Bombyx mori: one gene and its partners. The protein of the gene in region 2 purifies or fractionates together with the protein of the main gene of each other region. This does not show direct contact. Links are inferred from orthologs where the notes say so. Each region holds a gene or a part of one and is shown on either strand. Other genes may lie near its edges.

Evidence for each region. The genes of interacting proteins can lie anywhere in the genome.
Region 1: the proteins of protein crooked neck (region 2) and ATP-dependent RNA helicase DHX8 purify together in Homo sapiens (affinity purification with mass spectrometry; 3 studies listed by BioGRID and IntAct, counting the BioPlex papers as one, with this or other methods). This does not show direct contact. The link is inferred for Bombyx mori from reciprocal best matches to the Homo sapiens genes CRNKL1 and DHX8.
Region 3: the proteins of protein crooked neck (region 2) and peptidyl-prolyl cis-trans isomerase purify together in Homo sapiens (affinity purification with mass spectrometry; 3 studies listed by BioGRID and IntAct, counting the BioPlex papers as one, with this or other methods). This does not show direct contact. The link is inferred for Bombyx mori from reciprocal best matches to the Homo sapiens genes CRNKL1 and PPIE.
Region 4: the proteins of protein crooked neck (region 2) and coiled-coil domain containing 12-like protein purify together in Homo sapiens (co-immunoprecipitation; 3 studies listed by BioGRID and IntAct, with this or other methods). This does not show direct contact. The link is inferred for Bombyx mori from reciprocal best matches to the Homo sapiens genes CRNKL1 and CCDC12.

The regions. Positions count from the first base shown.
Region 1 is NC_085116.1:15,847,775-15,851,863, forward strand, and holds the start of ATP-dependent RNA helicase DHX8, read right to left. Parts: upstream 2,801-4,089; 5' UTR 2,676-2,800; coding exon 2,582-2,675; intron 2,318-2,581; coding exon 1,332-2,317; intron 497-1,331; coding exon 335-496; intron 18-334; coding exon 1-17.
Region 2 is NC_085124.1:5,696,923-5,701,156, reverse strand, and holds the start of protein crooked neck, read right to left. Parts: upstream 2,801-4,234; 5' UTR 2,638-2,800; coding exon 2,599-2,637; intron 2,526-2,598; coding exon 2,340-2,525; intron 1,995-2,339; coding exon 1,879-1,994; intron 989-1,878; coding exon 832-988; intron 738-831; coding exon 1-737. UniProt on the Homo sapiens protein: Involved in pre-mRNA splicing process. As a component of the minor spliceosome, involved in the splicing of U12-type introns in pre-mRNAs.
Region 3 is NC_085121.1:14,019,557-14,023,697, reverse strand, and holds the start of peptidyl-prolyl cis-trans isomerase, read right to left. Parts: upstream 2,801-4,141; 5' UTR 2,646-2,800; coding exon 2,436-2,645; intron 981-2,435; coding exon 795-980; intron 1-794. UniProt on the Homo sapiens protein: Involved in pre-mRNA splicing as component of the spliceosome. Combines RNA-binding and PPIase activities.
Region 4 is NC_085115.1:6,396,698-6,400,758, forward strand, and holds coiled-coil domain containing 12-like protein, read right to left. Parts: upstream 2,801-4,061; 5' UTR 2,645-2,800; coding exon 2,496-2,644; intron 1,963-2,495; coding exon 1,842-1,962; intron 1,189-1,841; coding exon 970-1,188; 3' UTR 234-969; downstream 1-233.

The sequences.
Region 1 (4,089 bases), on a different chromosome or scaffold from region 2:
ATTGAGATTACTTTGACCTGTAAATGTGAAATTTTTGTTTCTGTATATATGTAAATTAATTACTATAGTTATCTATGATTAGATTGAGTTCATCTCTTAACTTCCTTTCTTTTGTCTCTTTCTTCTCCCTCAATCTTTCAATTTCTTTAGCATTTTCCTTTTCAATTACGTTCTATGATAATAACACTGACCAAAAGGAGTTAAAAATAAAAATTGGACAGTGGGTATCTTACTGAGTATTTTGTATCTGAGTATATTGAGTACTGGTATTTTGCTTCAAGTTATTCCAATACTCTCTTATAAGTGCTCAATTAAAACTTAAATACTAATTTACCTTAACTTTATCACCTCTATTGACAACATCAGATACATTGGTGACACGACCCTCAGCTCGCAGCTGTGAGATATGCACCAATCCTTCCCACCTTTTTCTGACTCCTTCAATTTGAACAAAACAGCCGAATGGTACAATGTTTGCAACGCGGCCACTGTATATCTGTAAATCAATAAAGGAACTGATATATGTACATGGTAACAGTGTAATTCTCAAATGTTTAGTTGTATTGGTAGGCTGAATAACTTTGTGCCTACTCTTGCTTACATTGATCCATAATGTAGTGAAATAAGAATTACGTTGGATCAACATATCATACTCTTTAGGCCAAAGCTTTCGATTACTTTTCTAATTACAATCTCTAAGGCTTTTCAGTTCACCAAAAACTTAGAGACAAGTTGTTTAAAATAGGACTAAGTATTTTTAATATCAACGTTGTAAAATCATAATTTCAACAGTAGAAGAATTATTATTTCTAAAAAATAATTTATCTACCAAGCCATAAATTAAAACAGTATTCCAAGTTAATTCACACTTTGCTTAATGATAAATCCTTTATGAAAATATTTTAATTTGTATATCCAAAAAAAACAATCATTTTTAAAGTTGCAATAATATGTTAATGACAACGGGAGGAAGTATTGGTTCCAATGTCATAATTTATTCACATGGTGAGTATTTATTTTTTTATCATTGTCTAAAAGTATATTGAATAATTTATACTATAGAGATATTTTTAAAAAGGTTAAAAAACAGGGCAGTGGCACAGCCACAATGGGGGCAAGGCTCACAAAATTGAGTGTGATAAAATAAGAAAACGGTTACATATTAAAAGACAGTGTGAGTATGCCAAATAATAAGTGCAAATAATATGCGCTAATTTCATAAAATATATTACCAGGAGCAAAAGTTGCACTATCTTCCCTAAAAGTAGAGAGTCAAACTGAACTAGTGTGATAAAAATTATGCAATAATTGAGACATTTAAAGGAGCTTACTTTTCCTGGTTCAGGATCATCGTTCAATTCTACTTCAGGGCTGCGTTTTCTGCTTTTCTTGCCATAATCAAATTTTTCTTCTCTATTTCTTGAACGAGATCTTCTGCCACCTGATACTGATCTTCTACTTTTCGAGTAAGATCTACGCCTGTCCCTAGACCTGGATCTGTGACGATGTCGACTGTGTGATCTTCTTCTACGGTCTCTGTCTTGACTTTTGCTTCTCCTATCCCGGCTACGACTTCTCTTACCTTTACTTCTACTTCTTTTACGTTCCCTACTTCTACTTCTTTTATAATCTCTACTCCTACTTCTTCTACGATCTCGGCTCCTACTTCTTTTTCTATCTCGGCTCCTACTTCTTTTACGATCTCGACTTCTACTATGCCTTTTTCTATCTCGAGATTCTTCTAGTTTATATTTATCTGTGTTCTGTGTACTTCTGCTTCTTTTACGTTCCCTACTTCTGCTTCTTTTAGGATTTCGACTCCTACTCTCTTTATCTCTAGATTCTTCTGATTTATTCTTTTCTTTGTGATCACTATTTCTACTACTCTCAATTTTTAGGGGTTCTTTTCCTATAAGAAGTTCATTTGTTGTAGAATTGGAAGGTGCTAAAGCTTCCAATTCAGCCATCGCCAAATCAACAACATTATCAGTAGAACTTGGTTTAATTTCTTCTGTAAATAAGTCTTTGGCTGTTATTCTCTTTTTGTCTTTTTCATCATCACTACTTTCATCAGAAAAAGATTGAGGTTTATCATTTGGTATGGCCAAGCCAGGAAACTTTTTTGCCAAAGGATTTTCACTTTCAGTTTCGGCAATATTTTTAATCAATGTTGATGTATTCACAGGTTTCATGTGCTGTATTATACGGAGTAGATTTGTCATGAAGGAATCAGAAAATTCAGCCCCATTTTCAACCAATGCTACTTTAAAAGTTTCAAATGTTGGATTCTTATCAGCCAAATCTATGATGAATTCCGCTGCAACAAATATAGTAATTTAAAATTCCAGACACAATTTTGTATGAAAAAATTAGAGATGTTAAAACACAAGAACCTCGAAGTATGGTAAAAGGATCTCTTTGTTTCTGACTAGCTCCAATTAACCTGATTAAAAAATGCTCGTTTTAATCTATCGTATCGGTTAACATAATTATTGCTTGGTATAAGCAACGCTGTATTTATTCTATGACATCGTTCTTTTATCATGTAATTTAATGATCAAAACAAAAGTAGTCTACTCACCTAAATCCTTGTCGTTCAAACCTAAATGGTTGTCTAGCTCGGTGCATATTTTAGACACGAGCGAAAGATGCTCTAATTTAGTGACTTCGTCCATTTTAAGTATTAGCTTCACTTTAAAACCATCAAATCTAACAAATTCTAACGTATGAACAAAGTCACACAAAACTCACATTTTTAGGCTATTTTGACTTTACTGTTTAACGAAGACTGTCACCTGTCAAAAACAAAGTGGTAGTTCCACTTTTCCAACTAAAAAGGCAAAAGTATCATACCATACAGCCTAATATGCTATTTTTTTTTTATGACAAAAAATAGTTATGACATGAAATGAAATGAAATTAATTCATTTGGAACATTAATAAATTGACCTAAAATTAAATGAAATGAGATGAGATGATATGGGATGAAATATAATTTCAGTAAAATTGTGGTTATTTACTGAAACTTTTTCAGTAAACTTTTTAGACGATCCCGAGAAGCAACGTCCAGCAGCTTTATTTCATTTTCCCACATTGGTGCACTTTCACAGATATTAAATTATTAATAAACCACCGTTATTGTTAAGTTACACATTTAATCCTGAATAAACACTAAATAGAAAAATAAAAAAATAAAAAAACTTCGTTCCTCGTATACCCTGTCAGAAACAAAATAACACACAGCAACACACTCTTAACTCATATTTTAATATACGTACGAACCATAGAAAATGATTCGGATAGAGCCTGCTACTGATGTTTCGAAGTGCCATTTGGCGTTCTTAAAATCTGATGCGATTTCAATACTAAAACGTATCACTACAGAGCTTCTTGATTTAGAAAGAATGGGGTATTTTATTACCGTAGCACCTCTGATTGATATATTTTTAATTAATTAAAATCACTAAGCACATATTATAATTAGTTGAGTAAAAACAATTACCTTCAGCGTGAATAAACTTAGTAGAATTTTAAAACTTTCGTAGAGTCGGGCCTAAAATTTATGCAGAATATAATGATAGGTAAGTAGTTTAAAAAATTTCTATTTTCTTAGTCGATTCCAAAATCTTGGCAGAAATAGGAGAAGATAACTTGTCTGAGTTGTGCTATTTTCTTAATCCAGTGTTTCTACAAGTTTAATAAATAGCAACGGTTTCGTATTCGTGAAAGTGGATAAGATTAAGAAAATGGAACCAAGTTGTTGAACTTGGTTTTTCAAGCGTTTCTAAAAAGTTAAGTGACGAGTAAACTCTCACTATTGTTCAGACTGATTAATTTATTTCGTCCCATAAAACACCGATGGTCATATAATTTCATTCAAATTCATTTTATTTCAAACATTTTTTTCATTTTATTTTACTTTTCTTTAACAGACATTACTACAGCCTTTGTAAAAAAAAGATGTGTGGTGTCGTGGGACACCGGATAGGAACGAAGTTCCTTATTATAAAAATATTAATTTCAAGTTCTATTCGAGGTCTAAAGAAAATAATTATTCAGGTATACATTTTTATTATTTTATTTTTTATT
Region 2 (4,234 bases):
AGCCATATTTTTGAGAAAGTAAATATCTTATGAGGAATTAATTCTAAACAGGTTCTGTAAACTTGTCTTGTTCGATCTAAATCTTCTGCTTCTAACTCTTCATATAAAGCGTAATTAATCCACAAGTAAATATAACGCCTCCAAAATTGTTTGTCCTTTGAAGGAGGGATATTTGCAATTGCTCTCTCATATGTGTCTCTTATGTCATCTAAATTACCCTCATTCTCCACTAATCTAATATAATCAAACCATGCATCATAATTTGTGGGATTCTCTATAACTTCCTGTTCATACATATACTTTCTCTTATTTACTATTACATCCTCAATGCCAGATCTATCACCATACTTCTTTTCATGAATAGTATAAGCTTTATAAAGTTCTTTATTTCTGTCTTTTGGGACATGATCCAGAGCATATTTGTAAATCACTCTTGCTCTGTCATGTTCTTTTTGATTTTCTTCAAATTTGGCAAACGCTATAAACAGTCTTTCATCTAATTCTTCATCACCAAAGAATTCAACAGCTCTCTCAAAAACTGTCCTAGAGCCATTTATGAAACCATGGTTTTCTTCAAATTTTGCATATTTTATCCAATTCTTTACATCTGGATGCACCATAACAAACTGTTCATAGATTTGTCTAGCCCGTTCAAGTTCTTTGTACCTCAATTCAAAGTTTATGTATGTTTGCCAAGCTTGCTCATCTGGATGCCATTCCATCCAACGTTCAAATACCTGTGAAACAAAAGTAAATTAGAAACCTTGTTTCAGTTACAGTCAGTGACTATTATCATTATACGAGAAATTGTACATGTATAAAAAATATCACCTGTCTTGCTCCAGCTACATTTTCCAACATTTCCTCCATGTAAGTATATTTGTACCAAAACTGAGATACTCTTGGCAGAATTGTAACAGCTCTGTCCCATAGATTACGGGCATGGTTTACCTGTCTGTTCCTCATTTCCATTTCAGTATACTTCAGCCTAAAACCCATGATACGCTGAGAATATTTTGGTGTGGTATAACAGCCTAAAGTACAGGTAGTTAAGGTAGTGTGGATAATTGAAGAGTGACGCAAATTTAACAGTTAAAACTGTAAGAAATTTACCAAGAAAGTCCATGACTTTTACAGATTTTTCAAAGTACAGATTGTTTTATTTGTTAAATAAGTGGCTCTTGGACTAAATAGGCATCAATTTGAGATTGAAGTCTCAATTCCTTTATAAAACAACTGTTGGACAATTCAAACCAAATGCATAACTGTTGAAATAGGCAGGATGATATATTACATGCCAGTTCACAATACATTAATAGAGTATCAATTTTGTAATGACACTTTGTTCTTATTTACTTATGAAATTTCTTCATATCGGGTATGTATTTCCTTAAATATATTGGGCTTTAGGTAGCACAAAGGCTATGAACTCTAGTATAGTTGTATTGGTCATTACAAGTATATCAAACATCTTAACATTTCGTCCACAATTGTCTACAAGTTTACTAACCAAATAAAATTGTAATGTGAACAGAGTGACATAGGAATCTTTTTTATATGTTCTATTATAAGCTGATCTTTGTATGGTAACTCTTTAAGAATTAATTTTTTTCTTCACTGTGACATGAATTTTGTTCTAAAGCCCATGTCTTGAGTGATCCAACAATATGTCCTTGTTCAAATGAGGCTTACAAAGAGTACTCAGTAGTGTGACTAACAATTACTATCAGATGAGCCAAGAATGCAAAAAAAAATTAACACCACAGATTTCTCAAACATTTTTTAAAATAGTCATATGGTTTAAACACTGGCAGTACCAAGAGCACATAAGTTAATAATTTTTCAAATAAAATTGTTAATTGTAATGATAGCTCTCACCATAAGGTAACATTTCTGTGATCCACATCCAAAGCACGCTCATATATTGAACGAGCTCTTTGGATTTGCTTTTGTGATTCTTCCCATTGTGCATATTTAAGCCAGTTCCCAATAACCTGAAAACAAAAACAAAGCATCCATTAAACTAAAATTCGATATTATTATATTATTTGTTGTTTTCTTGAAGAAATACTACTAAATAAAAGTATCCTCATCTGGTTTTCGTCAGTAATGCTCTGAGTAGAAATTGTTTAGTACCCTTCTTATTGTGGAAACAGCATGAAACCTATATTGTTCAAAGGATCGTAATGGCACGAAATCAATTAATGAAATTAATTTGGTGAACTCTATCAGCTAGTAAAACTAAGCATTGGATGGTCTTAAAACTGAGAAACAATTACATTAATAGGAAAAACAGTCATTTATACATTGTAAGCGACTAATAAATTGAATTTACTTACAAGTCTGTTCTTTCTTATGTTGTCCTCAAATGCTTTACGTTTACGATGTTGGTAGTCTCGAAGTTCCTCAGGATCAGATATTTTCTGTTTAGGTGGCGGTGGTAATATCTCAAGGTCTCGTTCTTTGGCTTCCCTAAGTAATTGTTCAGCTGTTATTTGGATTTCTGCTGGTGCTTTATTCTTCACCTAAAAATCGTGAGATCCATGTTAAAATTGGAGTAATATTATTCAACAATACCATCAAACACTTTTTTCGTACCTTTGCCACTTTCGGCATTTTTGTTGTCTTGCTGTCCATGTTAAGTTCTACGTTCTGCACAGTTTATAATTTTTTAGTTCAGTTTAACCTAAATTTAATTTGATTACATACAATAAACAGCTAAGTACAGGAAAGGAAATCTTCAGGTTTTTTTTTTATTTATTGTCAAAATGAGAAGCATAGATTATACACATTTTTAAGAGAAGTGAATACGGTAGGTAGTGGTTAAGGGTGATACCGATATATTAGCATTCACTAAGATATTCGTAATACAGCTTGTATTCGTCTATCGGTAATCCGTCGAATTCTGATATGCTAATATTCCGTATTCACTTATTCATAATAATAGCCAGCTCACATCAGTCGGGTTGTATCTATCCACAGAACACTGTTACTCCTAGCGAAATATCTATCACACGAAAATATACTGACATACGCCGTACGTGTCTCGCGGATATCTGTTTATCACATTCATATCAATGCACTGCATGCGCTAAGAGTAAGTGAGATAATCTACATGTTTATATACTGAGCAATGAAAATAACTATATTTCGCTATGAGTTTAAGGACTATTTTGTATTGCACTTTTTACATGTCAAAGATGCCAGTGGGAATTTTTAAATGCATTACTTTTTATGTTTGTACTAAAGATTCGACTCAAGACAAAATAGTGCATTTCCACATTTATTGGAATAAAATCGGTGAGCTTTATTTTCATTAAATGTTTATATGTAATAAATTATGATGACAATATATTTTTGTGGTAGTAGTTAATTATCTTCTAAGAACTTCTCAAACTATAAATAAAAGTTTGATTTTTGAATCGAAATGACTTTCTAACCAAACGGTTCATGGATTATACTATTAATATAACTGTTGTGTACCTACTAGCCACCTCAGTACCGTATCAGAGGATTTTTTCGAAATCTGGAATACTCATTTCTGAGCGACGTACCGGTCATTCGGTAGAAAAAGTAAAAAAGCTGATGTTTTTATGCACCAATAAGAAATAAATAATATTACTAACTTGTTGTTTATATTAATGTACAATGTTGACCAAATTCTGGTTTAATAATAATATTCATATTAATGTACATAATATTACTTGTAAAATATTTAGTATGAAATCAAATTCCTAGATACAGTATACTATTTATATTAATTTAATAACTAATTTATGTGTATTATCTATGATTATTAACTTATTTCACGAATACCGTACTCGGTTAACTCGTTTACCCGTTTTATCGAAGTATATTAAGATATCAGGATATATTCACGCATTAGTTAAGTTATTATAATATTACATCATGAATATATTCGTATTCGCTAATATTGACAAATATCGGTATTAACCCATCTTTAGTAGTGATATGTAGGTAGTAGGTAGATTTTTTTTTATAAATTTCTAGTGGCTTCGAAACAAAGTTTTTTAAGCCAAGTAGGTAGGTATCTATGATAAATAGCACAGATAATACACGTAATATGTAAACTAAGCCATCGAACCACAGAGAATGTTTAGTTCGTTTATTGGACAGACAAAAGTAACTAGGCCATACAGCAAATATTTTGTAACTAAGGCTGAAAATATTGTACGAAGAATGAAATGGAACAAATGTAACGTATTTAATAAGA
Region 3 (4,141 bases), on a different chromosome or scaffold from region 2:
TTGAGGCATGTGACTAGGAGATCTATGGAAATAGTATGAAAAAGGTAGAGGAGGAAGAGGTCGACCGAAGAAGACATGGTTGGAATGTGTGAACGACGATATGATATGAGAGAGACGAGTGAGTGTTGAGATGATGGCTAATAGAAGAGAATGGAAGAGAAAAATTAGCTGTGCCGACCCCACCTAGTTTTTTTTTTATTTCTTAGATATGTGGACGAGCTCAAGCCCACCTGGGTAAAGTGTGTAGTGGGATAAGGTGGAGAAAAAGATGAAGAAGAGAAGAATTTCAATGTAAATTTACACACTTTGTTTTAGTATATTCATAACATCACTTGAAAACAATTTAATGTATGTGCTAACTCAATAAACTCTTGACTGGAAAACTGGACACAATACGAAGACATGGAGAGTATCATAGAACAAAAAATTACCATCATAATTTCACTTCCTTTGAGGTGAAGTTAGAAAAGTCGATATTTAAATAAAATTCAGACTTGTAATTAACGTCTGAAGGTAGCATTCGCTCTGTAACTGACATAATACCAAATTACAAGCCAAACGTTTGACAGAGTTTATGTTATCTCAAGAATATGACTAATGCTAGTGACAAAGTTATCAAACCCCTTACCCAGAGTCTTTATACATTTACTTTAAACGCTTTAGTCCTTATATTATGCATCCTTAAAATCAATCATCTTTATCAATGTTTTGGATAATATTTATTATCCTTTCACATGTTATGTCCGAATCATAACCATCTTATTTCTTAATTTGATGTACTTTAGATTACTTACACTAGTAGTTTCGGTTTTGTCTTTCGTTTCAGTTTCTTCACCATCTTTGTTCAGTTGAAGAGTTTCCCCAGCATGTTTCTGCAGCCATGAGTCATCCGACCAGACAGGTCGTGTGGAGCCTTCTTTAATGCGTTGCGGAGCTGCTATGTTCACTCGTATTGTTCTACCAAATAGTTCTGAATCATTCTAGAAATAAATAGTTAGATTACAAGTTAAAATGAGAAAATATTACTAAGCATGTTTAAATTTTTTTAATTATGCATTCCACAATATGTCTATATTTCTAGGGTCATCTATGTCTCTATGGATGTCATTTTCTAGTAGATTAATAATTTCAAACCTATTTTATAAAAGCTTATTTACTGTGTATATAACTTTTTTCTATTACAATATCCTACACTTTAGTTATGAATGGCAGTTTGATAATGTATTAAGCTAATATTATATTAAACATTTTAGTGTTAGTCAATTAAATAAATTATTAAAATAATCAAAATCTCCTTTAATCCGGAATTTAAAAAAAAAAACCTTTGAAACATGACGTGTATAAATATATGTGAAACAATATTTTATTTACTGTAATAATATGTATTACAAATATAATTATAATATCAGTAAAAAGTATTTTCCAATGATGAGGTTTAAATTACACACAAATAATTTTAATTCTCCCTTCAATACCTTATATTGAGGGGTGAAAGGCTATTTGTTTTAAGTGACATATTTTTTTATTGCCGTATAGGCAGACAAGCATACAGCCCACTTGATGGTGAGTGGTTACCGTCGCTCATGGACGTCAGCAATGCCAGGGGAAGAGCCAAGCCGCTGCCTACAAACATTCGGACATATTGACATTTTTGGAACTTAAAGGCCATTTAAAGTTTAAAATTTGGAAAAAATACCATAACAAATAAACTTCTTTAGCTTTTTTAATGGAATAAACTCAATTAAAGAGCAATTAAAACCATCAAACTGTTCTTGCTAATACCAAATAAAACACACCTTTAATTATGAAGATGAAGTTGTGTATTAAGGAAAATGTTGCTTATACCAAATAGCATTTCACTCTTCAATATAGATTCCTTTAGCTATGGTAGGTTTTGCTTGTGATAAGTATGTACAAACTCATGTCACCAGGTTTATGTAATTACAAGACAACAGCCATCAGAATGTGAATGCTGCCACCCACCTTGAGACATAAGGTTGTAGTTTCAATTGTGGTTATTCCACTGGTGATGGCTACTGTGCCAATCAGAAATCATAAATAAACATGTTGGTGGCACCTACCCCTTGGGCTTACAATATACCCTACCATCTGTAATAAAAACTCGGGGACTTCCGAGTTATAACAACAATAATAACACTTCTTCACCTCTTACTATATTCACAATGGACATTTAAGACCGAAAAAATGTAAGAATTTAAAATGTCAGATATTATTGTATAAGTAATAAATATAGACTTATATATCTTATTTGTCCAAAAATAATTCCTGAATGTAATTTCACATTCTTTAACGATAAACAAAGATGTGTACCCTTCGTTTGTACCAAAATGAGTATTTTGTATCATACCTATGGACTAGAACTGAAAGAATCCATGTCCAGCATCTGCCATGTATTTCACTGTAAAAGTACTGACCATGTTATCAATCGCTGCGGCAGCATCCTCAGCGTTTTCGAACTCTATGAAAGCGAAGCCCCGATGCTTCTCAGTCTCATAATCCAAAGGTATTTGAACATCAACCAAATCCCCGAAAGGGATGAAAGCAGCGTTTAAAACTTTCTCGTCGACCTCCTCAGCTAGCCCTCCAACGTATATTGTCCGCTTAGAATTAGGCTTACTCGACATTTTCACGTGTGTTTATATTAAATTATTCGAAATTTAAATGAAATTTAGGTACATAGCTAACTATTTGTGTGATAGCGCCGATAGCGGTTTGTTTATATCAAACATAACCTCAAAGAGAATGACAATTCAAAAAGTCAAATGTCATTTTGTCAAAGGAATTCATAGACCTATAGGTTTCCTACTTCATTGAAGGAATTAAAATAAACAACATAAGTAATCACTTAATATCTTTGGATTCAATGATTTTCAAATAAACAGTTGATTTTTACGTAATTTAAGGTAAGCTCAGAGTAGCAAATTACACAAACGATAAATATCTCATTCTCAGTTTCAAGTATGATAAAATATTTTCCTATTCGATAGTGAGATATGTAACAAAATAGTTTTCTAGTTGTTTTTTGATTTAATCTAACTAGTCACGAATTAATTTATTGGGAATATCGGCATTTCTCCTTTTTAAACAGGAATTTAAGATTGCTCTATAGCAAAAATAGATAGAAGAGTTCGCCATTGGCGCCGTCTTGCAATCTTTGTATCTGCCACCAGTATATACCAAACAAAAGCAGATAAGAAATTAAACGTGAGGTAGAAACGAAATCCGTTCTTAAAGACGGATGAATAATAAAAAAGTAAAATGGAAGGGAGCTGAAGGGGGCTGGTATACTTACTGGTTAATATAATTTCAACTAGGTATACAGTATAATTACAACTAAATAATCATTACATTACCTTACCAAAAGCCCTGTAATATTTTATAGCAAAAGGAAAAGCAGTGGAAACCGTTAAGGTTATCATTAGGAAAGAGTTATACTATGCGATTCTGACCTACTCAAACTCAAAATTAAATATCTCTTCGGCAGCTCGTTTCTTTTTTAAATACTGTGTTGGATAACAAAGGAACCAAACACCGGAGTGTAATGAAAAAAATGTATTTTGTATTAGTAATACATGTGAATGAAATTGAACGAAATATATGTAATGAAACGATAAGATGGACCGCAAAGTTTTTCAAAAAACTGTCAAATCTGACGGTTTTGACAGATATAGTCTAGTCCTTTAAGGTACTCAAAATAATCTACAGTTAATAAGTATTACACTTCTTATGAAAACAATCTACGAAGGTAATGGACGAATTCTTAAATGCCTCTAGAATTTTCATCTCTTCTTCAAACCTTATCCACCTAATGCTGAGTATAGGTCTCTTCAAATACACTCCATTATTCTAGGTCTCTTGCCTATCGCATCCAGTCCAGACTAATAATAATCCAGAATGTCCATCAAGAACGACCAGCTATTGAAGGGGTGGTGGCCTGCGGATTATGACGCCCGGTGCATTCGGATCGAGCGCTGCGTCCAAGCCAGTAAAACTGTAAGAGCCTATAATAAAAATCAAACCTGCGAAAATTATATAATGCGTAATTACTAATGGTAGGGTGACTTATACGCCCACAAGAGTAGGTAGCAACACTCTGATTTTTACTGCCGTGAAGCAGTAA
Region 4 (4,061 bases), on a different chromosome or scaffold from region 2:
TGTCTAGAACTACTAATGATTTAATTAGAATTAGTTTTATGGCAACTAATTTATTATTATTAACATATAGTAAAAACTGTTAGAAAATTGTTCCGTAAAGTATAAATCTGACTATTACATGTACATACCTATTTAAAAAGTGGTAGGAATAATTTATTATATAAATTAATAGACTAACGAGAGATATCGTTTACATAATTACTAGTATACTGTGATATTAAAATACTTTGAGATTAAATTAACTGTTTTATTAAAATAGATTTAGATATACATACATACATATCACTTGGTGTTTTGTGAAGACAAGAATGGTGGAATAATCCATCATGAGTGGCTCATGGATCCTGTTGAAGTACTGATCATGAATCTGTATTTACAATTAACAAATTAAATTGAATTAATATTGGATCCATATCCATGTTCATTTTTGTTCTCGTTTTTAGCTAAGACAAAGAGACTAATGGCACATGTATAAGTGAGCGTTTACCTAGACCCTTAACAACACAATGTGAAAGCCAGTGCTCTCCTTGAGAAATAAAGATAACTCTTTCATAATCAAAGTACAATAACTAAAATACAAAAAAAAAAGATTTAAAATTTATCTAATTGCATTAGGAGCTCAGAGCTCACTGTAACATGAATTTTGCCATCCACCTTGAGATTGGAGGTCAAAATCAGAATTGTAAGGCTGTTCCACCCTTCAAACCTATTGTTAAGATTATGGGACCCTAAACATATGGATCTTAATTATGCTTCATGAACAATACTTATACAAATTTAATAGGTTTTGAGTTTTTTTTATTACACAACTGACTTTCCACCTACAGGTTTCGCACAATAGCACAGTCATACCCTCGGTATTAATTCACTGGGCATCTTATCTTTTAGGTCACAACTACATTTAATATTTAAATCCACTTTTGCATGCTTTAAGTTTCTTATATAAAATTATTGCGGGACACATAAAATTTAGTCATCATCTGTAATGGTAGGTCGGTTAGCAGTCATTGTAATCATAGCACTTAAATTATCTTCATTTCCATGTTTCAGTCTATCCCAAATCAATTCAGCTATGGCTCTCTGTGTCTTCCGTTCTAATTTCTCTAGCTTCTTGGCCACATCTCGTTTGAGATCCCAGTCTGGTTTTCTTGGTGCTAAACTTGTTATGTCGAGATCCTGGAGCACCACCTAAAGTTTTTTCATATTATTAAATAACAAATACAACTTGTTTTTTTTTTTGTATTGCTTAGATGTGTGGACGAGCTCACCGCCTACCTGGTGCTAAGCGGTTACTGGAGTCCATAGACATCAACGTAAATGCGCCACCCACCTTGAGACATAAGTTCTAAGGACTCAGGTATAGCTGTTATATGTTTCAGATAATTATAAATTTAATAATTTAAATAGATCACAACAAATTGAAATTAACATTTTGAACATTCATCCATGGTTAATCTACGCATAAAATTTGTATGAAAGTATTTTTCATTAAGAGTGTCCATTTCCAAGTACTTATTTAATTATTTTTTTGATTATTTTGAATTTAATTTAGATGACTTAGTTACGGTGACTACAAGATGAAGTCAAGATGGAAAAGCAGTGGCAGCTGTATCATTAAACTAACTTCCTAACTGTATTGTGTAGAAATTTTCAAGAATCATTGAGTTGTCAGTAAAACTGTAACAATTGTTTTAATTATTTTATTACTCCCACATCCAAGGAAAACGTTATTATACAAATATTCTTGGAACTTCCATGAACATCATTTTATTTTTGAAATATTGTTACAATTTTGGGAGCAGTGGTTGTTTACATTATGTAAATATAGCTAATTGTAGTACCTTTTCTTTACCAGCCTCCAACAAATCTTTTACTTCTTCTTCTATCACTGTTGGTTCTGCATCACTAAGTTTGGATTCTTGTAACGCTCCATCTTGAGGCTTGTAACTTCTAAATTTTGGTCTACAATAATGATAGTTGGTTTTAAAAATAAATATCACAAACAAACATTACACAAAAAAAGAATAATAAGGAAAATAAATAGCTACAAAAATTATAGTCTGATTATTGTTTTATTTACCAGCAGCCATTAAATCATGCAAATTATTTAGTGGTATTATTCTTATGCCCACTTTTTATGATTGAAAGATTACTGGTGGCCCGAAGGCCCTTCCAGTTTCACCAGGACAGGTGGCGAACAAAGGCTCAGCCAGGAGGGGTAGGATTTGCTAACAACTGTCTGAGCGCCTTCGAAGGAAACCTAACAACTCAAGAGCAATTGCTTCGCAAATGAATCTACTACCGGATCGGAATCATTCTGGTTCAGTGATTCAAGAAATTTCCCAGTATTTTACGAACGTCTTGGCTAGTTATTAAATCATCAAATACATTAATGCCATAACAAGCTATGAGCGTTCATTTTTTTTTAAATTTAATAATCCTTCACTAGTAAAGTTTTGTTTTTGAATTTACAGATTAAATTGTTTATAACTTACTTGGGCAGTGTCATTGTTTCATTTGTAGTATTATGTGATGTATTATCACTGTTTGTTCGTTTTCTTTTTAGATTCTTCAGTCTTTCTTTTCTTTTGAGAGCTTGCTCTTCTAAGCTACCGACAGATTCTGCACTGTCCATTATTACCATACTCCGCGGTGTTAGTACCTACTTAATTTATACACCCGAAAATAAGACTTTAGATTATTTATGATTTACACAGCAAAATTATAATTCAAATATGTATGCAGCAATCTGAAAATAGTGAAAATGCTTAATTTTTCAAATGTCAATTGTGTTGTCACTGTCAGTCAAAGCAATCAAAGTGATGCACTTTTTCAAAAGGATTTTATGACCTGGTAACTAAGACTTTTAGGTCAAGTCTTATTTTAATTTTAATGAAATCTTTTCTAAATGAAAAATGATATTATGAAATGAAATGAAGTTAATATGAAACATGACATGAAATTAAATCAAATTAAATGAGAGGGAATCATATGGGATGAAATAGAATCTCATTAAAATGGTGGTCATTTACTAAGATTTTTTGAAGGATCTCGAGAAGTTACCTTTTTATTTATTTATTTTTATTGCTTAGATGGATGAACGAGCTCACAGCCCACCTGGTGTTAACTGGTTACTGGAGCCCATAGACATCTATAACGTAAATGCACCATCCACCTCGAGATATAAGTTTTAAGGTCTCAGTACAGCTACAACGGCTAGCCCACCCTTCGGACCGAAACGCATTACTGCTTCACGGCGGAAATAGGCGGGGTGGTGGTACCTACCCGTGCGGACTCACAAGAGGTCCTACCACCAGTGATTACGCAAATTATAATTTTGCGGGTTTGATTTTTATTACACGGTGTTATTCCTTCACTGTGGAAGTCAATCGTGAACATTTGTTGAGTACGTATTTCATTAGAAAAATTGGTACCCGCCTGCGGGATTTGAACACCGGTGCATCGCTACATACGAATGCACCGGACGTCTTATCGACAACTTCAAAACGTTCAGCGGCTTTGTTTCATTTTCCCACATTTTTGCACTATCGCAGATACTAAGCAGTTAATAAACCGCCGTTATTACACATTTAAACCTGAAGAAACACCTAAGCCTTTTCCAATTACAGCACAAGAGCATAATGCGACTCAGTGACGCACAATGCCGAATTATGCTGAAGCTAAGTTGAGCATTATGCCGCATAATGCGCCCTTGTGCTCTAATTAGAAAACGGCCATTAATAACGACGTAGTAAATTACGTTATAACATAAGAGAATTTGTGTTAAAGATATGAGCAACTACCTATTAGAATCCACTATAAAATCGTTAAAATAATACAAATATTCGTTTACATATTCATTTTAATTTATTCTTAATACATACATATTTTCAATAACACGATGTGACAATTTTTAATAGTAAGTACAGTACAATAGGTATATTTACATAATTTCTTACATTTCTATGAATCTAAACAAAGGTATGAATGAATTAAAAAAATGGCTTGTAAATGTATGAAATATGTAGCATAAAATCAAAAATTAAGTATTCAGATCTACA